Linked DNA regions of Canis lupus familiaris. The protein of the gene in region 7 interacts with the protein of the main gene of each other region in a pairwise test. Links are inferred from orthologs where the notes say so. Each region holds a gene or a part of one and is shown on either strand. Other genes may lie near its edges.

What was found.
Region 1: the proteins of NCK2 (region 7) and ABI3 interact in binary tests that used the Homo sapiens proteins (3 or more experiments, as listed by UniProt). The two-hybrid records come from large-scale screens. The link is inferred for Canis lupus familiaris from reciprocal best matches to the Homo sapiens genes NCK2 and ABI3.
Region 2: the proteins of NCK2 (region 7) and SF3B4 interact in binary tests that used the Homo sapiens proteins (3 or more experiments, as listed by UniProt). The two-hybrid records come from large-scale screens. The link is inferred for Canis lupus familiaris from reciprocal best matches to the Homo sapiens genes NCK2 and SF3B4.
Region 3: the proteins of NCK2 (region 7) and PIK3AP1 interact in binary tests that used the Homo sapiens proteins (3 or more experiments, as listed by UniProt). The two-hybrid records come from large-scale screens. The link is inferred for Canis lupus familiaris from reciprocal best matches to the Homo sapiens genes NCK2 and PIK3AP1.
Region 4: the proteins of NCK2 (region 7) and MEOX2 interact in binary tests that used the Homo sapiens proteins (3 or more experiments, as listed by UniProt). The two-hybrid records come from large-scale screens. The link is inferred for Canis lupus familiaris from reciprocal best matches to the Homo sapiens genes NCK2 and MEOX2.
Region 5: the proteins of NCK2 (region 7) and VARS2 interact in binary tests that used the Homo sapiens proteins (3 or more experiments, as listed by UniProt). The two-hybrid records come from large-scale screens. The link is inferred for Canis lupus familiaris from reciprocal best matches to the Homo sapiens genes NCK2 and VARS2.
Region 6: the proteins of NCK2 (region 7) and LRRIQ3 interact in binary tests that used the Homo sapiens proteins (3 or more experiments, as listed by UniProt). The two-hybrid records come from large-scale screens. The link is inferred for Canis lupus familiaris from reciprocal best matches to the Homo sapiens genes NCK2 and LRRIQ3.

Annotation. Positions count from the first base shown.
Region 1 is NC_049230.1:25,325,778-25,329,731, reverse strand, and holds the start of ABI3 (ABI gene family member 3), read right to left. Parts: upstream 2,801-3,954; 5' UTR 2,473-2,800; coding exon 2,356-2,472; intron 1-2,355. UniProt on the Homo sapiens protein: May inhibit tumor metastasis. In vitro, reduces cell motility.
Region 2 is NC_049238.1:59,867,874-59,872,021, forward strand, and holds the start of SF3B4 (splicing factor 3B subunit 4), read right to left. Parts: upstream 2,801-4,148; 5' UTR 2,678-2,800; coding exon 2,644-2,677; intron 2,197-2,643; coding exon 2,068-2,196; intron 1,800-2,067; coding exon 1,257-1,799; intron 934-1,256; coding exon 727-933; intron 1-726. Other genes in the region: MTMR11 (myotubularin-related protein 11), read right to left, coding at 4,003-4,148. UniProt on the Homo sapiens protein: Component of the 17S U2 SnRNP complex of the spliceosome, a large ribonucleoprotein complex that removes introns from transcribed pre-mRNAs.
Region 3 is NC_049249.1:10,216,540-10,220,039, reverse strand, and holds part of PIK3AP1 (phosphoinositide 3-kinase adapter protein 1), read left to right. Parts: intron 1-732; coding exon 733-869; intron 870-3,500. UniProt on the Homo sapiens protein: Signaling adapter that contributes to B-cell development by linking B-cell receptor (BCR) signaling to the phosphoinositide 3-kinase (PI3K)-Akt signaling pathway.
Region 4 is NC_049235.1:30,321,203-30,324,702, forward strand, and holds part of MEOX2 (homeobox protein MOX-2), read right to left. Parts: intron 2,999-3,500; coding exon 2,826-2,998; intron 1-2,825. UniProt on the Homo sapiens protein: Mesodermal transcription factor that plays a key role in somitogenesis and somitogenesis and limb muscle differentiation. Required during limb development for normal appendicular muscle formation and for the normal regulation of myogenic genes.
Region 5 is NC_049233.1:828,461-831,960, reverse strand, and holds part of VARS2 (valine--tRNA ligase, mitochondrial), read right to left. Parts: intron 3,329-3,500; coding exon 3,258-3,328; intron 3,107-3,257; coding exon 2,981-3,106; intron 2,761-2,980; coding exon 2,656-2,760; intron 2,504-2,655; coding exon 2,435-2,503; intron 2,352-2,434; coding exon 2,231-2,351; intron 2,110-2,230; coding exon 1,982-2,109; intron 1,862-1,981; coding exon 1,709-1,861; intron 1-1,708. UniProt on the Homo sapiens protein: Catalyzes the attachment of valine to tRNA(Val) in a two-step reaction: valine is first activated by ATP to form Val-AMP and then transferred to the acceptor end of tRNA(Val).
Region 6 is NC_049227.1:72,837,958-72,841,139, reverse strand, and holds the end of LRRIQ3 (leucine-rich repeat and IQ domain-containing protein 3), read right to left. Parts: intron 1,233-3,182; coding exon 1,109-1,232; 3' UTR 501-1,108; downstream 1-500.
Region 7 is NC_049231.1:38,637,029-38,640,528, reverse strand, and holds part of NCK2 (cytoplasmic protein NCK2), read left to right. Parts: intron 1-2,355; coding exon 2,356-2,550; 3' UTR 2,551-3,500. UniProt on the Homo sapiens protein: Adapter protein which associates with tyrosine-phosphorylated growth factor receptors or their cellular substrates. Maintains low levels of EIF2S1 phosphorylation by promoting its dephosphorylation by PP1.

The DNA.
Region 1 (3,954 bases), on a different chromosome or scaffold from region 7:
TACCTACTGACCCCTGGTTTGGGGCTTGGCCCAAAGTTAGGTCCAGAGGTACAAAAATATGAGATCCATTGTCATAGCTGTCTGCTTATTCATCATGCAGATTACCTTGTCTGTAAACTCAATGGACTCTGACAGAGAGAACTCTGAAGTCAACCCCAGCCTGCCTCCCCCCATTCCCCATGGGCTTCCTGCACCTGACTGGGGTGAAGGGAGGGGCTGAGGGAAGGACAGGGGGCGTGGGAACCAGGCCTTCTTTAACGGTAGTTCTGAGAAGTCATCCAAACCCTTTGAAAGCATTTGCTCCCCAGACTGAGATCCTCCCCTGAGAGGCCAGGAAAGGTAACTAAGGTCAATTAATTAGTGTTCTGCATGAAGGAAGCAGGAGCCCGGGGACTCTGACCTGGGGCAGGGCTTTTGGTGATTTTGCAAGGGCAGCTTCACCTCACTAGAATTGACTTTCATTATCTTTCATCCTTCCGACAAATGATGATGATGATAGTAATGGTCATAGTTTCCATGTATCCTGCCCTTCCTAAGTGACAGGCACTGGGCTAAGTGCTTTAACACATTTTCACATTTAACCCACGTGACCATGGTAAAGAGAGAGGTGTAAGAATCAGAGAGTCAGCTTGCCATGGGTCCTGTAGTTGGTTGGTGGCAGAGATGGAAATTGGACTGGGTCTTTGTAATCCTAAATCCTGTGTGCACACACTGTGTATGCAACAAAGGAGAACCCATCTGGAAGAGCCTGGAGCTGTGCAGAGTTTACCCAAGAAATGGACAGAACTGCTTCTCTCCTTGTCTGTAGAAGGCTACCTTCCAGCACCACGAGAACCGGGCTGGTTTACAAGCCATAGTCCATCTCATCTGTAAGCTGGTCGGTCATTCAGCATCTACACCAACAGCAACTATTCAACTAGAGGTTTGGGGGTGGGCTCTTGAGTCAGAGTTCTGGGTTCAAATTCAGACTGCCACTAGCTTAGGGACCTTGGGAAAGTGAGTCAATCTTTCTGAACCCCGGCCTCCTGCTGTGGAATGGGAGTGCTTCTCCCCTCTCTGGCTTGGGGGAGGACTAAAAGAGGCCATGTGGGCAACAAGCCTGCCCAAAGGAAGGGTGCAGAGTGTTCTCACTGGTCTCATCACTGACTCCCTTTAATCTGCCATTTTCCCATAAGCACTTGCTACTTTCATTTTTTTTTTTTTTTCAACACTCTTACTGAGCCAGGAGGTCCCCCGGGGCCTGTCAGTGCAAATAAACTGTCTTTAAGTCATACGGCATGTCAGGCAAGAGGTAAAGAGAAGGAGAGGAGAGAACCGGCTTCGGAAGTCAGGAGGCTGATGCTCAGCTTTGCTACATCCAAGCCATGTGACCTTGGACAGTCACCTTGCCTCCCTGCGCTGCTGGTTCTTCATCTATGAAAGAGGAATAATAATACTTGTCTCATAAGGTGCTTACGAGGATTAATGGGAAAAACAACAACAACAAAAAAAACAGGTGCTCAATTGTTGTTGAGTTTCCCTCCCCACTCTTCCCTTGATCTGGGAATCTATGTTCATGGTCCTGAAACCGCTACACAATTTAGGAAAGTTCTAAAAAGTCTCAGTTGTCGGGGCATCTGGGTGGCTCAGTCCTTAAACATCTGCCTTTGGCTTGGGTCGTGGTCCTGGGGTCCTGGGGTCCTGGAATCGAGTCCCCGTCGGGCTCCCCACGGGGAGCCTGCTTCTCCCTCTGCCTATGTCCCTGACTCTCTCTGTGTGTCCTTCATGAATAAATAAATAAATAAAATATTTTAAATAATAATAATAATAATAATAATAATAATAAAGCACAGCTGTCATCTTTTTGCTGGTAGACAGCTCCCAGCAGTCACGTTGTCCATCCCCCTGCCTCTGTGCCTGACCCAGCTTAGTCTGATGTCTGTCCACTCTCGCTCAAATATCAGGGAAAGGAATCTCCCCCTGTCAAGTTCATGACACTGTCCAGGAAGTTCAGAAGGCCCACCTAGAGTCGGCCTGCAGATGCAGTAATGATGCCACTATTTGTTTGGGGACAAGTCTGGATCTGAGCAGGACCTGGGAGGGAGACAAAGATAGAGTGAGGAGCGCTAACGGGATAGAGGTGTGAGGCTCCAGGAGAGGCAGTGGGGCACGGTAGGGCTGGGTGGCACGGGGTCAGGGCTGAAGTTTGAGGGGAACAGAATGAAGCCGAGGCCTGGGGTGGAGGATTTCCCATCCGCACCCGGGCCGAGCACCTGTCAGGGTGGCTCCCGCAGTCCTGCCTTGGAGGTGGGCTCTGGGCCTCTCGGGGCGGTGGTGGGAGGCAAGGGTGTCGGGGCCTGTGCCCACTCCGCCTACCTGCACATAATTGTCCACGCAGTAGTCCGCGACCCGCAGCAGGGAGCTGTGGTTGCCCCGCAGAGCCTCCCGGCCCGTGGGGATCTCGAACTCCTGTAGCTGCTGCAGCTCTGCCATGGCCCCCAGCCTCTGGCTGGCTCCCCAGGGAGCCCGCTGATTTTGTGCCTCACCCAGCCGTTGATTGGTCGCTCTGCCTTACCCCCGCCTCACTGCTTTTGGTTTCCTCTCCGTGAGAGACCCAAACCTGCTTGCAAAGGGCAGGCAGGCTCATTCCGGGACAAGAGGAAGTCAGTCCCTGCCCCGAGGGCCTGTGCCTCTCTGCCCCCGGCCCAGAGGAAGGGGGAAGCCAGGGGCGCCTCTGGGGGCCCAGCCCCCCAATCCCTCCCAGCAGAGGAAGCCAAGGTCGGGGCGCTGTGATTGCTCATGGGCCTGGAAAGGAAACTGTTGGGGGGGGTTGGGGGGGGGAGACAGAGGAGGAAGGGGACTGGCCTGCTCTGGGTGGGGGGTGGGGGTGGATTTTCCACTCATGGAAGGGGAGGAAAGGGCAGAGGGTGGGGGCTTCCTTGGGAAGCTCAGGGATGAGTCACCAAGGGCCTGGGGAGTGGAAGGTGGGTAGGATGTGGAGACCAGTCATGCTGGGGGCTGTAGGGCGGCGCAGAAACAATGGAAACCAGCCAATTCAGCAGCAAGAGGAATCAGCTCAGACACCAGGAAGACATCCAGAGGTCCCCTGAGAAGTGTAACCAAGCCTCTGAAGGGTTCCATGTAAAGAAGCCCTAGTCTACAAGCTCTGTGCCTGATGGAGGTAAGACCAGCTGTAGCATGTGGGATTCCGATTAGACAATAGGAAGGAATTGGCTTTGAGAAACACCACATTCAAGTTTCTGATTAACTCGTTGGTTTTAGGAAGCAGCAGTGCATGGAGCACCAAGCTGTTCTCAAAAGGTATGTGCTCTATGTCCTGTATTCATAGGCAGTTGGCCTAGAGACTTCCAGGCTCTTGTCCTGATCCTAAAGTCTTAGCACTCCTGGCTGTGAGTGGGACTCAGACCCCAGAGCAAGGCAGTCAGGATGGACTCCAGGCCTCCTTTCAGCCAGACAAAAAGAGGATCCTTTATTGACCATATTGATTATCTTAAGCATTTGCTTCTCGAGAGGGTCCCCTTGTCATGGGACAGGTGTCAGCCTGAGCAAGAGCTCAGTATCTATTAAACAGCACAGCCCTTGGATGGTCCTGGAAGGAGACCAAGAGAAATTTCAGGATGCAGGCCCTGTGCTCAGCAACTGGTGAGGGAGACCCACACTCAAGGCTCAGAAGGAGGCATGGAAGCCAAGAAGCATGGACATGGGCATTAGAGGTGGCCATGGCCCCACGTGTTGATGGCACAGCATCCTAAGTGAGGAGTCCGTTTTTATTGAGTAAGCAAAGGAAGACTGAGCTTAGGAGAACCTTGCACGGTGTAATCGTGGGGCTCCGATGGGAGACACAATGGCTTCTTGGGTGAGGGAAGTTAGGAGCTGGTCCAGGACTTGAGTCACTGAGAAGGCCAATCTCAGAGCTGACTCAGAGGTAACGGAGGGGAGGGCTTAGAAGAGAAG
Region 2 (4,148 bases), on a different chromosome or scaffold from region 7:
ATAAATAAAAATTAAAAAAAAAAAAAGAAAAGAGAACCAGATACAAAAACCCAGCTACATGGAGAGGGAGAAAAGCCTACTAATGTGGCTAACTTTTTTTTTTTTTTTTTTTTTAATTTACGATAGTCACACAGAGAGAGAGAGGCAGAGACACAGGCAGAGGGAGAAGCAGGCTCCATGCACCGGGAGCCCGATGTGGGATTCGATCCCGGGTCTCCAGGATCGCGCCCTGGGCCAAAGACAGGCGCCAAACCGCTGCGCCACCCAGGGATCCCTAATGTGGCTAACTTTAAGGAGTCTGAGACAGATGAAAAATCCAGAAACACCAAGAGGCAAGCTTTTCAAAAAGGACAACACACCCAGTTTCAAGTACACCAAATGGCAAACCAGGTAAAGAATGGAAGTGCCCCCTCTATTTGGCAATTAGGTCACTGCTTTGGGGTAGAAGTCGGAGGAGAAAAATGAAGTAAAAGTTAAAGGAAAAAGCAAACGAGTACAGTTACACTCTTTGGAAAAACTTGTATAATAAATGGAGACAGGGTGGTAGCTGTTAAAGTAAACAGAGAACAGTGTCTCGTGTTTGTTTTTATAAAAGAATGTCTGAAAAAAAAGCAGAGCTCCGGGACTATCTACTATTACTGCTGAGGGATGAGGGCAGCACTGCATGTGGCAGTGGAGCTCCTCCAACAAGCTTATCTATCCTTTTCCCCAGCAAAGAACACTCACCTGGATGGGGCATCCCACTTGGTGGGAATGGGTGAGGATGCGAGTGTCCATGTCCAGGATGTCCAGCCCCTGGGGTTCCTGCTGATGGTGGACCGTGTCCTCCAGCACCGGGAGGCATAGGTGGCGGGGGCATGGCTGGGGGTATCCCGGGTGGAAGGGCTCCAGGAGGCGGCACCGGGGGTGGGAAGGACCCAGGAGGAGGCATGCCTATAGAGGAAATGAAAGACAAGTTAACGATAGTAAGGAGAGAATGTCTTTAGAAAGCCCGTTCAATCTGGCCTCCTCAGGCAGGATAAGTTCTCTTCCCTTCCTCCCAGCTCTCTAAAATCAGAAGCAATACTAGATAACTAGGAACAACTTCAGCCTCTTCAACTCAACAACTTTCTCCCCACAACTGTCACCCCTCACTCTCTTTCTCATCACCTACTGACTCCATGTCCCCCTTTATCAAGTTCTTTTCTCCTCCCCTTGCCCCCGCTCACCACCACACCCCAAGCCCAAGACAAAAATACTTTGAATAAAAGCTTTACCTGGTGGCGGGAGCCCAGACCCCAATGATGATACGACAGGATTGGGGGCTGAAGGCGGAGGGGGTGCATCTGCAAACAGCTGATGAGGGCGGTCAGCCTGGGAGAGTGGGTTCTGGGCTGCTAGAAGTCGTTCAGCTGCTGAGCCGTGGCGCTCCCCTTTCGAGTCCTTCTTGAAGGCATAGGACACAGTAATGGGGCGATTACAGAGATACTGCCCATTCATGGCCTCAATAGCTGCATCCGAAGCGTCAAATGAAGCAAAATTAATAAAGGCATAACCTTTGGAGTTGCCTGTATCAGGGTCCCGCATAATCTTAGGGGTTTGTAAGATGACCCCGAAGGCGCTGAAAGTATCATAAAGCAGCTTCTCATCAATTTCTGGGTCCAGATTGCCAATGAAAATGTTGGCCCCCACGTCCAGGTTCTTGTTGTGAGCCGATGCCTTGTTCACTCGTATTGGCTTCCCATATAGTTTGATCATGTTCATGATCTTAATGGCATAGTCAGCATCTTCCTCACTCAGGAATTCCACAAAGCCATAGCCTGGGAAGTAGAAAAGCAGAGATTAACTTAAGTGAAGTGATTCAATTTCGTGTGTAACTCATGCACCTTCCAAAGCACAAAGAACATGAAATAACCACCTCACTTCAACTGGGAATGGTTCCAGAAGCAAACATTGAATGACACTTAAAAGGAAGAATCTACAGGTGATTCCAAAACGGCTATGAATACTGCCTATGAATACTGCCGGAACCCTCCAGGAGCAGCTTGTCCCCTCAATGCATAAACACGCCTCTTGTGATGTACTCACCTTGGTGCTGACCTGTGACTCTATCCTTTGGCATGTGGGTGTTGACTACTGGCCCTGCCTGGAGAAAAAGCTCCCACAGCAGGGGTTCGCTAACCTTCTCATCCAGTCCCCCGACGTAGACAGTGGCATCTAAGAGAAATGAGCAGATTATGGCAGGGATGAGACAACGACGGGAAAGAAGGAAGTGACAGGCGGGGGAACTGGGAGTGGAGATGGGATATAGGAACAAAAAAGGAAAAAGACGTGAGAGTAAGCCCTTACATCTCTCTCATTCCAGAACTAAAGAACCTTCTTAAGTCTAACTGAAGGTTCTGCTGCAAATTCTCTGTGAATTGCTTTGTTTTTGGTTTTCGTTTGGGTTTTTGTTTTGTTTTGTTTTTTTGAATGGGAAGGCGCAGGAGATTGGACAGAGCATCACAACCACAGGCCTCAGCCTGCACCCGGCCACCCCACCCCCAGCCGGCACGGGGGCCGGGTTCGCGCCCTCCGGGGGGATCCGATCTCCTGCCCCGGCGAAAACACGGCTGGCCTTCCTCGAGGCCTCCCAGCCTCCCTGGCCTCATCCCCTCCAACTACCCTGGTTCCGCTCGGAGATCGGGCCGGCCGCCATGGCGAAAGAGCTCCCGCCGTCTCCAGGCAGCGATCCCGCCCTCTGACCTCAGTCAGTACTTCCACTTCCGGGGCGAAGGTAGTCACGAGGGCGGTGGGCGGGGCCTGATGGGGGAGGAGCCGGAAGAGGCCCCGGCCATCTTAGGAGTTGCGGAGACTTGATGCGGCTTGTGGGGCCGCGTTCTCCGGTCCGTGGTTCTGCGCGGATTTGCCGCTGCTAGCGGTCAAAGCGATGAGGGCCGAACGGAAATGCCCAGACCCTCTTAAGGCAGTGCTGGACGTTAAAGGATCACAGTACTCCTAAAAATGTAAACTCAAAAGCTAAAAGAACAAAACTTTATTTAGAAATATTTTGTTGGCAAACTATCCTTTTGTTCCCCGGAGAAGGGTGTGCTGAGGAAACCCTCCAACCCAAGGATTCGGCTGCCTTAGGGTGCGGAGGCAGCCCTCCACCGTGGCCCGCGGCTTCTGGGGAGAGGATTGCGGAGTGTCTGAGCTGGAGTGGCGTCGGAGCTCACATGATCCTGTTGCATGGGGGAGATGGAAACCTGAGGCTCAGAGATGATGTGTGCCCAGAGCTGAGGGTACCTGACATTGCAGCCCAGGGGCCTCAGTTTCAACCGCCAGAATACCCCGGGCCCACCAACCATGTCTTTGCATGCTCTTTGCCCCATCTTACGAAACGATTAGTGTGGACAGCCTGACCTATCTCCATATTTCCTGAACAATAATATGGTGGGTCCCTTCTTCTCCCGGTTTATCATCGCTTTTTTACTTAGGATCTTTTATTCAGACACCAGAGATAATGCCAGCAACTGTACTTTAATGAACTCGTTAAATAGAAATGTCACTACAAAATATACAATTGGGAGAGACAGGATGTGTCCCATACCCACTAGCATACCCATAGAAAACCAGAGGGAAGAAACAGAAATTGGAATTAAGCAGCAAGAGGAGGTGAGAATGAGTTCTGTAGGCCATCTCCTTTGAACTGATGAACAGCATCTCTCATCTCACAGCTTATCGGCTGGGTATCCAGAGGGATGGAATTGCCCTGAAAAGAACAAAGGTAATCGTATTCTGGATTGCTTTTGTTTCTTAATTCCTCAAATCATGAGAAACATATCTCGAGAATGAAACAGGACAGGGCAAGAGTTGGAGAAGGTTAGCACCACCCATCTGCAACAGAAAGGTCAGTGAGCTTGTTGAGGGCTGGAGTGTCAAAAGCTGAGACAGCAAGACCAAGATAAGAAAAATTGGAGGATTAGACAGAACCTTCCCTCACCCCGGACCCCCTCTGCCATGCCCATAAAAAAGACAACAATTTCAACGGGACTGGGAAAGAATGGTATTTGGATCTCTTTTCTTGGAGTGATCCTCAGGAGATACTCTTGGTGTCCATTTCCTTAAAAGCTCCTGAAGATGGGATAGCTCATCCTGGAGGCCAGAGATTGTGGGAGCTGAGAGGCCTT
Region 3 (3,500 bases), on a different chromosome or scaffold from region 7:
CAGAATCTTGCACAGGGTATCAATTGATGGGCCCTAGTTAAGAGCCTCTGCCTTAGAGGTCTGGTAGGTTCTACTTACACCATCTCAGCATCATCTCATTCCATGCCATGCCCCACACATTTGCACACTCCTCCTCACCTGCTCTGAGCCTGTGCACAGTATAGGTATTAGCTATGGTACCAATCTGTGACCTAGTTATATTGATCCAAGATTTGTGGGAAATGATTGCTTTTCATTGTTGTTCCAGAGTGTTTCCATTGGATAGCCATGACCCTGAGGATTAATGGCTTCCTGGACAGCACAGGTCTTACTTGGTGTTCAAAAGATGACCATTAAGTGGACAGCCCATGCTTGACCCCACCTGAGGAGAGGGGGCCTCCTTTCCTCGCAGCCACCAAAGCCAGCAGTGCAGGAAGTCTGGAGGCAAATCTTCCAGAAATCTACTGGTTAAGAGTAGACTTCCCAGCCTTGGGCAACATCCTGTCTCAGACTTTTTGTTCTTCTTCTCCACAGTCCTCTTGTTGGCATCCTACCCTTGCTGCCTACCGGGTAATTGACTTTTTCCCGGCAGGTCGTCTTTCATGATTTCCTGAGTCACTCTCTTCAGCTTCTATTTATTTGACATTCAGAGCCATTTCCTATTTGGTAATGTTTGGGGCTTTCATGGGGTGGAACATGCCCATCAGTTCTCCTTCCTTGTGTTTTTATTCAGTGATGTCCTTTGTCCCATAGATTCTGGCTGTGACTCAGTCACTGACACAGAGACCGAGGACGAGAAGGCCCCTTCCTGCTTGAAGCAGCAGAGCCTGCCACTGCAGACTTCACCTGGGAACCTGATGGTGGTGCAGCCAGACCGCATTCGCTGTGGGGTAGGCACTCCTGGGGCTGGTGGATCAGTGTCAGAACACGGCCTTTTCAATGGATGCATTTGTTGCAGTAAAGGGGTGTAATCTCAGCCTTCCCTTGGGGATTTCATTGTCGATTAGCTGCTCTGGGAATCCCAGTACCTGAGCCTTGAGCACACCTCACTCCTTTAGGTAAGAGAGAAGCGAGCTCAGGAAAGTATGTGTCATCCATTTAAGACTTCATCTTTGTTTTTTATTTTTTTATTTTTTATTTTTATTTTTTTAAATTTATTTATGATAGTCATATAGAGGGAGAGAGAGAGGCAGAGACATAGGCAGAGGGAGAAGCAGGCTCCATGCACCTGGAGCCTGACGTGGGACCCAATCCCGGGTCTCCAGGATCGCGCCCTGGGCCAAAGGCAGGCGCCAAACCGCTGCACCACCCAGGAATCCCCATCTTTGTTTTTTAAAGATTATTAATTTATTTATGAGAGAGAGAGAGAAAGAGAGAGAGTAGAGTGAGTGAGAACACGGGTAGGGTAGGAGGGGCAGATGGAGAGGGAAAAGCAGACCTCTTACTGAGTGGAGAGCCCAACATGGGGCTTGATTCCAGGACCCTGAGATTATGACCTGAGCTTAAGGCATATGCTTAACCAACTGAGCCACCCAGGTGCCCCCTATCTAAGATTTTAAGTTCATAGATCAGAAACAGAGCATGTGGCAAACATGAGCATTACCAACCCTGGAGGTAGAGGCCTGGGTCTGTTCCTGCCAGCCTAGTGCTGAGAGGAAGTAGATAGAGGGGCATTTTGAGAGCTTGCTTCTCCATCAGTTGACCACTGCTGTACCTCAAATGAATGCCTTGAAGTTTGCTGGCTGAAACTCACCAATATTGGTTGTTAATTTTAGATAATTTTAAATATTTTTTTTTTAATTTTTATTTATTTATGATAGTCACAGAGAGAGAAAGAGAGGCAGAGACACAGGCAGAGAGAAGCAGGCTCCATGCACCAGGAGCCCGACGTGGGAATCGATCCCGGGTCTCCAGGATCGCGCCCTGGGCCAAAGGCAGGCGCCAAACCGCTGCGCCACCCAGGGATCCCAATTTTAGATAATTTTAAAGTTAAAAGCCAAAGCATAATGTGACTAACATTTTCAGGATGAGACCTATGTTAACAGGTGACTTGAATGTGATGGCCCAATTGATGGGCCACCATCATTTAAATCCTACCATAGAATTGGTAGATTTTCATTATCTTTCCTTTCCTGATGAAAAAAAATGTGTGATATTAGTTCAGAACAGCAAAACCCTTCCCTGTGGATACAAGCCCTATGCTGTTTGCCCCTATGGTGTCTGTGAGACAAGGGGTATGGGAGCCTTGGCAATGGGAAGTACTAGTACCTTGCACCTGTGCGTGGTTTCACATGCAGCCTGAGGCCACAAGGCATTGGGCAAGGACTCCCTCCATGGGGATTGCAGACAGCTGCTTTGGGATAGATCGAGCTCATAGATATGGTTGGTTTAGATTGTACAGTGTTTTAAAAATTAGGCATGAAAATCTATTCCCATCTTCGTTTTTGTTTTTGTTTTTTTTAAAGATTGTGTTTATTTATTCATGAGAGACACAGACACAGACACACACACACACACACACACACACAGAGGCAGAGACACAGGCAGAGGGAGAAGTAGGCTCCATGCAGGGAGCCTGATGTGGGACTTGATCCCAGGACTCCAGGATCATGCCCTGGGCTGAAGGCAGGCACTAAGCCGCTGAACCACCCAGGGGTCCCATCCCAGTTTCCCTTGAATCAGAATCTGATAATACCAGGCCTGAGGTGAGTGGCTGGGCCTAGCAACCCATTAGATGGGACATGAATTCCCTAGTTCATTGCTCCCATCACTCCCTGTTCTTATTTTCAGCCCACTTCATGCCCTCTCTTCATTGGTTAGGCCTTTGTGGGCATTTTAGTTTCCAGTCTCTCCATATGCCTTCCTGTCTTCCCCACATTCCTCTCATCCTAAGACCAGACTGGTGGGCACCGGTGGGTAGGGGCATTTGGAAACGAAGAATAGTACTCTAAACATTGCCTTTCTGATTCTCCAGACTTTCATTCTTTCTCCTGTCCTGGCTTCCAGATTCTCCCTGTGGCCTTCTCTAGGTCTCTGGATCCTGGGGCAGCCAGACTGGGGTTGGGTCCTATTGTCAATAGAGAGGACACATTCATTCTCTCTGACTCCCCATGCTGCCTGTGAGAAGGAGCAGGTGCGACAGGCCCGGGCCTGCAGCCGGAGTCAGGTCAGCCAAATACACATTCACATTTAACATCTTCCTCACCTGTTGTGAAATGGTGGCCCTTGTCGTGAAGGCCTACTATGAGGTCTTTATAAAAGAATTATAGGATGAACATTTGGGGATTAGCACTGACCAGAAGGGCTGCTCTTTGGACAACCTGTCATTACCTGTTCAAGTCTTAAGAGGCTCATCTTCTACTTAACCAGCACAATAAAATAAGATAATTGTATGTGGCAGACCTGGCAAAAAATCTTAAAGCCAGGTGAAATAGCTATTCAGATTATTCATGCCTGGGCAAAATCAGTCCTCCAATAAGGTATTTTGCCCATTCTAAAACAGCATGGGAAGCAGAACCCGA
Region 4 (3,500 bases), on a different chromosome or scaffold from region 7:
GTTTTCCTTCCTCTGATTGACAGTTGTGTTTTTCAGTTTATGCTAGAAATTCTTTCATATTCATTATAACACATAAACCTGAGTAGAAGCAAGAGAAGTTAGCTTTAATTTCCATTTTGTGACTTAGGGAGATTGTTACTTGCCTAAGAATCCAAATTCCAATGGAAAATCTAGTTGTTCTATTCAAATTTTTATCATAATAATTCAATTTTTCTCACTGTCACATAGTGGCCCTCTGAAGACTTAACTTTGACTAGGAATTTAGATTCCACATGTATGCATCTCCTTTTCATATTAATCTGAAAAACTGGAAATAAAGATTTATAGGATAAAAAAATCTTCACGATATAAAATTTCAATTCTTTCAAAATCCAATTATATCTCAAGATTTGTTTGTTTGTTTTTTCCCCTATGACACTATAGTTAGATCATTTCGGTAACGGCCTCCAGCAAATGTCACCTTCCTTCCATATATCCATTCCTTAAATGGTCTCCTTCTACATTGACACTGTGCTTGGTCATATGACTTGCTTTAGACAATGAGTCATCAGTAAATATGAGATAACGAGAGTCCTTGAAAGCCTTGGTCCATTGGAGTTTTTCTTCTATTCCTGACAATGCTTCTATCCCCATTTGAAAAGTCTCAGAGAGCCTATTAGAAGAAAATGAAACCACATACAACAGAGACAAATGTCCCAGCTGAGACTATTTAAACCAACCAGCTCTTCAAACCCAAACCCGCCACGTGACTACAGCTCTATGGGAGATTTAGGTAAGGTAAGCAGCTTAACCATCCAACTGAGCCCAGTCAAAATCCCCGACCCACAAAACTGTGAGCAAATTGAATGTCGGTTATTAGTTGAAACCACTATGATTTTTGAATGTTTGTTACATAGTCAAGGCTAACTGATAACAAAATTGAAAAGGGACCTTTGATAAACAAAAACAAAGATTAGAATTGTATGTGTGTGTATTTTGCTTAAAATTACATATCATCCTTTTCCATAAATGACAACTCAGGAAGACATATCCAAAATACCTAAAAAATTGCCAGACCAAATTTATAGAATTGCTTTTCTAAAAGAAATTATTTTAAACCATAAGGGAAACTTCTGCTTTATAATCAGATAATCACAGGTAACCAAAGCCATCCCCAGAATAGCAAGCACAGAATCTTCACATTCCCTCTTGGCTAAGAGTATAGTACTGCATCCCATTATTTCTATAGCTTGGAAACAAGTCTTAGCTTGTTTCCTTTTTGTACCATAGAAAACATGGTTGCATTTCCTAGAATTCACTGTCTATGGATAAGAACATTAAAATATGTAATTCTTTCCCTCCCTTCTTTTTTTATCTGCTCCCAGTTTAAAAAAAATGAAAATAAAACAGATGTCCAATAATGTAGATTTTGGATTCTCCTTTCCAGCATGCCAAATGTTGTACACTTATGGAGAGGAGTTTGTCTGTGAAGTTCAAGGGAAAGAAAATGTTGTGCTTCACAACTTAGGCACTAGTCATAATATTTAATAAAATATAAACTGCCAATAAATAAAACCACATAAAAGTGTCTCTCTCTATATTCCCAATCCCCAGAAATACCCTACAAAAGCTGAAATCCAGAAATTAACAGAAGGAAAGCAGATGATTTAAGAAACTGGATAAAATAACTTGCTCTCCTAAGATAGTATTCATACGTCCACACCCTGTTGGTATTTCTTTGGTTCTGATGGGATCCCTGGAGGAGGTGCATACAGTGAAAGGAAATGAGACTCTAGTCCTAGGAGTGCCAATCATAACTGCACTGTCCATAAAGATGTTTGGATTTGCCTTTCAGGAATGTTTTCCTAAAGATTAGCAACTGTTAACCATCAGTAAGCTAGATTCTCCCAGGGCAAATCAGAATCCATAAAAAGAATGCACTGGGAGCACTACTGGAGCAAGTAAAATCCAAGAAAGGACCTTTTAGGTTTTATCAACTGGAGTCCACAGATCGTTCATAATTGCAAAGTGTTCTCTAAATGAGTCAATGTCAGAAATTTAAATTTTTGAGACCAATATCAGTTCAAAAATATTTGGGAAATATTTACGAAAGACCTATGGGCCCTTGCTCCCATCATTTCCCAGCCCCCCTTGAACTTAAGTGGCACCACGGATGATTTCCGGACCTTGGAGTATAAATGGAAGTGACATGGGTCATTTCCGGGTGAAAACATTTAAAGGTCAGTGCATGAACCTCCACCTCTTTCTTACCTCCTGTGGTTACCAAGGACACCACATGTTGAGATGCCAGAGAGTCAGCCTGGGTCCGTGAGTGACTGATTGTTTATAATGCTGAACTTGTAAAGTTAGTATGGAGAGTGAGCAAATAGTGAACTTTTTTGTTATGTCATGGAGGTCCGGGGGTTAATGTGTTACAGCAACATAGCAAACCCTGTCCTGAGCAATAGAGGAAACTAATATGGGGTTGCTGGCTTTCTATTATACCAAAATAAGGAGATTTTAAAATATAAGCAAAAAAGAATTGCTCACTATATGCCATCATTATATACAAGAAATACTATTTTAAACCAAAATATATAGGAAGGACACAAATACAGAATAAAGAATGATACCTTAAACTGAATAAATGTAGTTTTCCTTAAAAACACTGCTATCTTATCCTTAATTTTGCCATTTTGCCGTGCCAAAACTTCATCATGGAACAGAACACCTATCTTACAAATGGCATTTAAGAACCACAGATCTAGATATTTCAAAAATGGCGAGAGAAGATTGTTGACTCAACACAATTAAAAATACCATATCACAACAATGTCCAACTTTACCTGTCTTTCAGTGAGATCCAGATTCACTGCTATCTCATATCGCCTCAGTCTGGTCAGATAATTATGATGGGCAAATTCTGCTTCAAGTTCTCTGATTTGCTCTTTGGTAAAAGCTGTCCTTTCCTTCCTGGGTTTGCTATTGACTTCTGACTTGTAATTTCCTTCCTGGGAATCTGGGGGGAATGTAAGAGAGAATTAAATTGACTTTATTCATTCAAATGCATACAATCATATCATTCATACCAGAAGCATTTACTGAATAACTACTTTTTCAGGTACTATGTTAGATATGGAGAAACAGAGAGCAAAGACAGAAGACTGATCTCACAACAGGATAAGATACATTTCTTACTTTTTCGATCTGCTCTCCTGTGACTCAGCCTAATTGGCAAAGTGTCTAATATTCTTTCAAAATATGAACAAAAAATGTATTTGCTCTTAATATGATAAAAAGATAAATAAATAAACCACCTCTAGAAAACAATTTCGGATGTAAAATTGCGTTTAATAAGTTGTTTAATATGTATACTTGGGATCTAGGTATGATTGAACTCTTTAATTCCTAAGAAAAAAAGTGTTGACTTAATATGTGAATATTTAAGCAATTTGAATGTTTAGCAACTGGACCATAAAAGTCAGTTCAAGGTCAGACAAAGCATACATAAAAGTGTGTGT
Region 5 (3,500 bases), on a different chromosome or scaffold from region 7:
AGAGGTGGGAAGAGGGAATAAAACTGGTTTGTATACTTTAGAAAGAAAAAAAAGCACTGAATTTTTTGCCTATTAAAAAGAGACAGAGTCCTTTCCGCCCCCGGACGCCGCTGAGTAAGCATCGTTAGTCTCCCCTCCCACCACCATCATGTCTAAGTCAGAGTCTCCCAAAGAGCCTGAGCAGCTGCAGAAGCTCTTCATCAGAGGTTTGAGCTTTGAAACAACCGATGAGAGTCTGAGGAGCCATTCTGAGCAATGGGGAACGATTACGGACTGTGTGGTAATGAGAGATCCAAACACCAGTGCTCCAGAGGCTTTCGGTTTGTCACATATGCCACCCTGGAGGAGGTGGATGCAGCCATGAATGCAAGGCCACACAAGGTGGATGGAAGAGTTGTGGAACCAAAGAGGGCTGTCTCAAGAGATTCTCAAAGACCTGGTGCCCACGTAACTGTGAAAAAGATTTCTATTGGTGGCAGTAGAGAAGACACTGAAGAACATCATCTAAGATTATTTTAAACAGTATGGGAAAATTGAAGTGATTGAGATCATGACTGACCGAGGCAGTGGCAACAACAGAGGTTTTGCTTTTGTGACATTGGATAATCATGACTCTGTACACAAGACTGTCACTCAAAAACACCATATTGTGAATGGCCACAACTGTGAAGGAAAGCCCTATCGAAGCAAGAGATGGCTAGTGCTTCATCCAGCCAAAGAGGCCGAAGTGGTTCTGGAAACTTCAGTGGTGGCCGTGAAGGTGGTTTTGGTAGGAATGACAACTTTGGTCGTGGAGGGAACTTCAGTGGCTTCGGTGGCAGTCGAGGTGGTGGTGGATACGGTGGCAGTGGGAATGGCTATAACGGATTTGGTAATGACAGAAGCAACTTCGGAGGTGGCAGAAGCTATAATGATTTTGGCAATTACAACAATCAATCCTCAAATTTTGGACCCATGAAAGGAGGAAATTTTGGAGGCAGAAGCTCTGGCCCTTATGGTGGTGGAGGCCAATACTTTGCCAAACCACGAAACCAAGGTGGCTATCTATGCCTGTTCCAGCAGCAACAGCTATGGCAGTGGTAGAAGGTTTTAATTACTGCCAGGAAACAAAGCTTAGCAAGGGAGGAGAGCCAGAGAAGTGACAGGGAGCTACAGTTTACAGCACATTTGTGAACTCAGCCGAGCACAGCAGTGGCAGGGCCTGGTTGCTACAAAGAAGACACGTTTTAGACATACTTGTGGGTATGGGCAAAAAACTTGAGGATCGTATTTGTGACTAATTGCATAACACATTATCTTAGTTTCTGTTCTAAAGTGTAAAGAGTTTTAATGTAGTTTTCTTTTTTCGCACCCATGCTGTTGATTGCTAAATGTAATAGTCTGATCATGACGCTGAATAAATGTGTCTTAAAAAAAAAAAAAAAGAGCGGCTCCTGGGTAACTCAGGTCATGATCCCAGGGTCCTGGGATGGAGCCTCACATGGGATCCCTGCTCAGGAGCATGCTGCCCCCTCTCCCTCTGCCCCTCCCCTTGCACATGTCTCTCTCAAATAAATAAATAAAAAATCTTTAAAAAAAATAATGATTCTGTAATGCTATTTAACATTTAAAACAAAAAGAGACTGAACTCTCTGCCAGAAAATCCAATCTCAAGGGGAAGAGGAGGCAGGCATGCAGGAGTGGAATGCCATATTCCAGTCTAACTCACCAAGTAGACATCACAGAGGCTGTGGAGCCAGAAGTGGTGGAGGGCATGGGTGATGAGTGGCAGCTCCCGAGCAAGGAAGGCTCGCTCACACTCCTGGGCAGTGTGGGCCAGACGGCTCAGGATCCAGGCGTCCGTGGGGGATGAGGGGGATAGCTGCGGGGGGAAGACGGCTTCAGGACAGGATCACTCCTCCTCCTCCTCCTCCAAATGTCATCTTCAACCCTCAGAGAACTAATGATTCTGCCTCCCAAGCCTCTTTTCTTATTCTCTTACCTCCTCTGCAGGCTGCGGTACAAATCCCTCTCCTAAGGCATTGAGGATAAAACGCAGGGCATTCCAGATTTTGTTGCAGAAATGCCGGGAACTCAAGACCTCAGAGACGGACAAGTGTACATCGCCCCCTGGTAGGGAGTGGGAGGAGGAGTGTGCACATCGGTGGCAGGAGCACAGGGAGCCCTTGACCCTGCCCCACCCCTCTACAGGGGTGCCTACAATGCCAGCCCCTCCCTTGCCCAGGCTTACCCAAGGCCCTGTGGGAGCACAGGGCAAATCGCAGGGCATCTGTCCCACACTCAGGGATCCCATGAGGGAAGTCCTTCCTCTGCAACCAGAGGGATAAGAGGGGTGGCAGATGCCTACACAGCTGCAGGGACAGAAGCCTGGGCTGCAAAGGAAACCCAGCAGCCGCCAGCTTGAGGCTGAGAGAGGCAGATGCTGGGGACTCACCTGTGCCGCAGCCGCAATCGCCAGCTCTGTGGAGTCCAAGTTCCCGTCCTTCAGCTTTTCCTGCAGCACCTGGGATGGGTAAGCACTTCAGTGGCCTCGGTCAAAGACCCTGCCCCTTCAAGGGTCCTACCCGCTCACTCTCCCTCCCAGCCGGCTCCTCTGCTCAGGCTCCCTTCTTCTGCCCCACAAACCCCATCCTTCGCCAGACTCTTCATCCTGACCTGCAGTTCCACCCCACTGATGATGTCTCGTGGGTCCAATACATTCCCCAGGGACTTGCTCATCTTCCGGCCCTGCCCGTCCCGAACCATGGAATGAAGAAGCACCTGGGGGGCACAGAGGGAGTTGGTAGAGGGGTTAGGGGAGCCTATCCTAGGAGGTGCCCAGGGGCTCTCTGGCCTCCATGTGTCAGGGGTTAGGACAGGAAATGAATCAGGAAAAAGGAATTGGGACCACAGACAATAGCACATTAGGGGTTCGAACAGAGACCAAGATTTAGGGAAAACTGGGGAGTCAAAGATGGGCTAGGCACCTAAGGGCCATTACCTTGGTGAAGGGGAGCTGCCCTGTGAGCTGTGTCCCCAACATGACCATGCGGCCCACCCAGAACAACAGGAGATCACTGCCTGTTTCCAAAAGTGACAGGGGGTAGAAACGAGCAAGGTCTGGGGTCTAGGAGGAAAAAGAGAAGCAGTGAGAAGCCTAAGCCCTATACCTGCAGCTCTTGAGGCTCACTGCAGGGGTGGGGGTAGGGGGGCGCTACTGCCTCCTTCATCTCCTTCATCATCCCCATCTTCACCCTCTTCCTCTCAACCCGCCTCACCTCTTGGGGCCAGCCCAAGGCAGCAAAGGGGAAAAGAGCCGAAGAGAACCATGTGTCCAGGACATCAGGATCTGGGAAACAGAGTGGGGAATGGAGACAGTTAACTGGAACGTCGAGCGTACTGCTGTGCACCTTTCCAGCCCAACTCCAGGCAGAAAGACCACGGTCAGGCCCTAACCCCATTCCCAACCTCCCTGACCTCACCTCCTCCACCCCAGAGTCTGCTCCCCCTGAGGCCCAACT
Region 6 (3,182 bases), on a different chromosome or scaffold from region 7:
TTTTACCAAAATTAGGAAAACACTATAAGCATTCTTTTAGCGATCCAGCATAGAAGCACAACTGAATAATTGCTATTGTAAAATACTTACTTTTTGAAAATTTGCCACAGACTAATAATCATAGAATTTTAAAAACACTTAAAAACTAGCCCATATATAACTTATGAGTATTAAAGATTTTGAATGGCATTAGTTACACTGTATCAAGTGAGCATGTCATAATCATAGGCATTTATTTCTCTAGATAAATGAAAAGACTACTGAAAATAAACTTACACTTTACAAAGGAATTTTATATCTTTTTTATCTCTATTTTCCTAATTTTAAACTATGAATATGTATTAAAGAGAAAAAATCAATATATATACTATTTCTGTATACTTTATAATAACAATTATACAATTGTGTGTCTTCTTTCTGTCTCTCCTCTCTTCCCTCAAATGTATGCAAAAGGCAAATACATCAATAGTAAATATATGAAAATCTAACAATCTCCAAGGAAGTCAAAAGGAATATTTAATTTCTCTTTTATATTTCACATTTTCTGAATTCTTATAAGAATATGAATCACTGATATAATGTTAAAACTCTTATTTTGAAATAAGAAATTCAGAAATTGTTTTAACAAAATAAACAGAAATATAATTAAATACATGAAAGTAGGCAATGAAACTAATCAAAGTACACAGTGTCTTAATAAAAGTCAGCAGCTGGGGCAGATATTACTACACTAAGATTGCCAGAGAAACTGAAAATTGCTTTAGGATTGCCATCCTTGGGATATTAAACAATATAAATAATGCCTTTGCATTATTTCCTGCAATAAATGAAATAAGTTTTAATTGTTCTTTGGACATCTGGATATATAAGGAACCTTTGGGGGTGCCAAGTTAACTTGATTTACGTTATGAACAACAAAAGAAACACTTTAATTATTCTCTATATTTCAGAAGCTTTATATACAAATCCATCCAGTTACATGGAGTATTTCTTCTTTCATAGTATTATTTCAAAGTCCTTTAACTAAGCGTATTAGCCATAATTCAAAATGACCACGGATGTAACGTGGCATTGGTTCATTTTGTCACTCTTCAGGGAACTTGAAAGACTAATTCTTTTTCATAATTGCAACTTTTGTTTTAGCATCTTGAAATTGTTCACAAGCTTTTTGAAAGGCGATCATGTCAGTAACAAATTTTTCTTCACAGTGTTTTTTATATGTTTCTTGAGCCCTAAAAAGAAAAAAAGGAAAGTAATAGGGTGAGATACTTTTAAAATGACTAAAAGTGGAACAATTACTCAGATAGTTTTAACAATTACCATTAGTTAAATAGATGCTTTTAAAACAGACATACAATTGAGAAAAAATTAGAATTCCACCTATGGCAAAAATTTTATTATATCAATAATGTCCATAATATTTTCAATGATATTCCAATTGGGCTAATACTTCTAAGATTTCTATTGGCTGTAACAGAATTCTCATAAACCCTGCTTGAGAGTCCCAAAGAGGCCTCAAAGCTAGGCTATGCTAAAATGTTTCAGAATTTTGGGGGACCCTTGGGTGGCTCAGTTGGTTAGGTGCCTGCCATTGACTCAGCTCATGATCCCAGAGGGCCTAGAATCCAGCCCTGCACTGGGTCTCCCTGTTCAGCAGGGAGCCTGCTTCTCTCTCTCTGTTCCTCCTCCAGCTTGTTTTCTCTCTCCCTTTCTTTTAAATAAATAAAATCTTAAAAAAAAAAAAAAAAAAGATTTGCAGAACTTAAGTCTCACAAAATTCAAGTTTCTTCTAGGATTCTGTTACGGATTGAACTGTGTGCCTACCTCCAACCCCCAAGTTCATGTTGAAGTCCTAAACTCCAGTATCTTAGAATGTTACTATATTTGGAGATAGGGTCTTTCAGAGGTAATTAAGCTTCAATGATATTGTACAGATGGGCCCTAATCCATTGTTAGTGGTGTCCTTATAAGAAGATGAAGAGATACTAAGGATATGAACACACAGAATAAAGGCCGTGTGAGGACAGAGTGAGAAGGCAGCAAGGGAAAACCCCAAACCTGAGAAGCCAAATCTGACTTACCTTGATCTTGGACTTCTAGCCTCCAAAATCAGAAGAAAATAAATTTATGTTGTTTAAACCACCCAATCTGTGGTATTGTGTTATGGACCCCCCACACACTAAATGAACTTTAAATTAGAGAAAGGTGAACCAGGTTACCCTGTCAAATCTAGAAAATGTCATGGGCCTTATAAGACTTCAATCATTATTCATCTGCATTCATTTAACAGGTATGTATTAAAATGCCCTAGATGCTGGAACCATGAAGATAATTATGGCATAACTATGAGAGGCTTATAGAAAGTAAAGAAAAATAATGAATATATAAATAAAATATTATAGTGCCATAATGAAAACACTATCTAACAACATGAGAAGGGCATAATAAAAAAAAGTTAGTAAATAACACCTGAAGAAGAGGGTAAGGAAAGGCAAGAAAGGTTTCAGATTTGAAATAATCCTTGCACTTAGTCTTGAAAGATACATATTTTTCAGGCAGAAAGTGGAGGGGAAAGAACATTTTGTTTATGTATGTTTGTTTAAATCGCATGAACAGCTAAAATAAAGGCAAAAGGCAAAGATGACAGCATGGCTTGGCATGCTCTGAAAAGTGACAACACTCTAATTTCTGGGACAGTAGAACAGATAACCCTGGAGAAACAGACTGACAGCAGAGCACAGAACCCCTGATTTATATTCACATATACTCAGAAATCTGGACTTGAGGAACAGAAGAAAGGCCAAAATCTTAGAAGTCTGCAATTTATTAACTATGTGATTTTGGACAAGTTATTTCAGCTCTTTTTACATCATTTTCTTCATTTTTAATAGGGATATAATCCAACTCCTGGGGTTTAGTAAAAGATTAAATGAGTTAATACATTTAAAATCCTTAGAATAATGCCTGACATTTAATAATTCTGCTTACTGGATGAATAATAGTGGTATTCATCAGGATAGAAAATAGAGGAAGAGCATCCAGATGAAGGGAAATACTGTAAATCTTTTTAAGTAATATTGTTTTTAAGGAGCCTGGCTGTCCATGTGGTAATGCCCAGGGAGTTGACTAAAGAGAAGCAATGGCTTATGGTTAAGAGAAAAGGTAGTAAAGCCATTCTGCCT
Region 7 (3,500 bases):
CACATTTCCCTGTTCAGAAAGTCATCTTTTGATCATTTGGCTTAATTAAAATTGGGTATATCATGTACTTACCCTGACTCACATACTACCTCCACTATGATGCTTAATCTGTGAATTGATTAAAGTCTCTATAAAACTAGCACAGTGCCTGGCTTGTGCTAAACTAGAACAGTGAGATCAGATCGCCTTCTGTCTTTATCTAAAAGGCACAAGCTTCTAGCATAGAATTTATGTATTTATAAAATGTAATAGAAGCTTGAAACTAAACACTGTTTTAAGGAAAACCTGAAGCCCTCAGGAGAGAGTTGAATGTTCATAACTTCTATGTACGATTACACATGGTTGAGGTGTCCTCATGCACTAGGACCAGTAACTGTTGTGACAGCAACAGTGATGCCAGTGCTCTAGGCCTTGCTTCTGTGTGGAGGACCTGTCAAGCAGTACCTGTTTAACCTGGTTCTTTTTTCAGAGCCATACACAGCAACCAACTTGGATAATAATATGGAGGATCCCAAGGTTAGGTTATATCCATCTTGTTCAGTCCTGTGAAAACAGTCATGATTTGAGAATTGAGCAGTCACATGATTACTTAAAATTACCCAAAATGATGTTTTGTGCTGTTTAGAACATTATGTTATTAGGGCAGGTCATCTGTGACATTAGGGTTTGTGATGATGTGTTTCTGAGAAGTCTAGTGGAGGAAATAATTTTAAGTTCCATGTCCTCCTCCCCACCCCTTGACCCTCTTGTGGCCATGATTCTGAAAATCATATGTAGCCTGAGGTTGAATCAGAGATCAATCTTTCTGTGTCTCCCTGAAAGTTCATCCCACCAGCGCTTCCAGGGTCTCCTCCAGGGCATCAGGTCCTGGGGTTAGCATGGATATAAGATGGAGGCTTTTCCCTCAAAGATTTGGTTCTCTTTGGTCTGTTTGGGACAGAGGGATACATAAATACAAACTGAATACAGTTGTCTCTTAGTTGTCTCTTGATTCTTGCATGGCAGCAATGACTGGTGGGGATGAGCCCCACAGTGCTTTTACAGAGTTAAATGTCCTCAGATTCCCATTTCCCTGGGATGTCATTGGTTTTATGGAATTTTTACTTGTTTTATGAGATTTGCACACTTTGGATTAAATGTTTGTAAAGTCAGCCTATAGACAGTGGCTGAAATCCTTGTTAATTTTGTACCCATGGGCAGGACGCAAAGCTGGATGGGTCCTCAGCAGCAGGAAGTTGCTGGATGTTGAGAAGTGCTGAACCTGCTTTATGAATTCAGTTAAGAACTGTAGTGGGCTCCCACCATCTGTACGGCTGTCTGTGGAATATAGCAGTGGAGAGGATGTGGTCTGGCTGGCCTAATGCATAGTGAAGGGATAGGACATACGTGTAAAGTATTTTTACAGAGCAGTTACTAGACTACACTCTGCTCCTGCCACTGGAAGCTGTTAGCCTCATGCAATATGGCAAGCCAGGGAGGGGAAGAACTTATCTTGATTGAAAGAGAGGATGAGGTGGCTTCTTCAGGTGGAAAACCTTTCAGCTGAGCCTTGCAGGAATGGTCATCCAAGGTGAGGGGCAAGATGGTTCAAAGAACAACAGGAACAGGAGTGAGAATGGAACTGGAGGTGGGACACACTTTCTGTCTCATTGATTAGAACTGTCAGGCAGGGGCCTGGTGGCACACCCTGAAGAGCCACTGCGTGCGGTTGGCTTTTCTTCTGGAGCCACTGAGTGGGGCCAGCCTCCTTCCACTTCCGCATCAACTCTGCTGGCTCGTCAGTGCCTCAGAAGGAGCAGGACCAATTTTAATAAAAATAATGATATTAAAGTTTATTCAAATATAAGTAGGCATGGACGTAATCACAAATTCAAACACTACTCAACAGAATCTGTGCTTAAACCATGGTTCAGCTGCCCCCCCTGGGATATTTCAAACCATGCTTAACATGCAGCCAGAGTTTTCAACTGCTCTTAAAGTATTTATTTTTAAATAGCTTAGAGTTAGGAAATTTTTGATGGCTTCATTTCTAGTAGAACAAGGGAAATTTCTAGCTGCTGCCTATATGCAAATCACTTTTTTAAAACTACCAGTTGATCAGGAGTAGGTTGGGAAATTTAAAACTTTAAGTTTCTTCAGCATCAGGTTAACACCAGTATCCTACATGCCGTGGAGTCCCCAGTGTTCGAATAACTAAGATACATGGGGCACAGAAGCTGTCCTAAGCAAGAGGCAATTTTTCTTGGATGCAGGACACGCGGAGCCTGGGGCGGCCTCGGGCGAGTGTGCGCGTCCGTGCACTTCCCCGCGTGCCCTGCGCGGCCCTGCTGACTCGTGTTCTCTCTCCTTCCCCAGCCCAGTGACTTCTCCGTGTCTCTGAAAGCATCAGGGAAGAACAAACATTTCAAGGTGCAGCTCGTGGACAATGTCTACTGCATCGGGCAGCGGCGGTTTCACACCATGGACGAGTTGGTGGAACACTACAAAAAGGCGCCCATCTTCACCAGTGAGCACGGGGAGAAGCTCTACCTCGTCCGAGCGCTGCAGTGACGGCCCCGGCCCCTGCCGCCTGCGGGCCTCGGTGCCACACTCGCTCCCCGGAGCCGGAGCCGGAGCCGCGATCCGGGAGGAAGCCGCGCTCAGCTGGGCCCCGGGCCCTCCTGCAGCGGCCTCGCTGCCACCGACCGGCGCCTCGTCGGTCCTTGGCTTCCTTTGCCTCGTTGACCTGGGCGTCGGGGCGGTCTGTTTGCCGCGCGCCTCCCCTTTGCCAGGCCGGGCCCTGACACCCACTTTCCGGCCCGCCCCCCACTCCCGCCCGGGCTTAGAGAACGGCAGGTGGAAGAGGGGAGGTTGGTTCACTTCATTCCTGCTCCTCCGCTGAGAACAGCCTTAGCCTGTTCACATGGTTCGTGCAGACACAACCCCTCGTTAAAAAGGTTAAAAAGACATCGGGCACAGCTTGAACGCACTGCGGCTGCCGTGGTCAACTAAGAACTCCAGGACCGCTCGGAAAGCGGGGGCGGGAGCTCTGCAGAGGCCCCCGGCCCTGGGCCTGGCAGCCGCGCTCTGTGCCCTCTGCCCTCACCTGGCTCCCAGACTGTCCAGGGAGTGGACGCGCCTGCTGGTAGCAGCACCGGCACCACCAGATGAGAGAGTAGTGGGGAAAGTCCAGTGCCTTCGGGGCTATGCTTGCAATAAAAGGATTTCCTTGAAAGTCAGTCTGCAGAAGCGAGACCCGTGACTCAGAAAGACAGACGTTGTGGTCATTTACCCCCAGATGTGCCATCCGCATAGTGCTTTTTCCTCTCGCCCTTTGGCTTGTTTCAATTTCACAATTATGTATTTAATTCTCAAAGTAATATGTATCCGTAGCCATTTGTTGACACTAATACAGATGATTAAGGAAAACAGCTGATCTTTGGGGAAGGGGAGCTACCGTACACTTTACACACACACACGCAGCCACACCATATATATATATATATTATATTATACATATA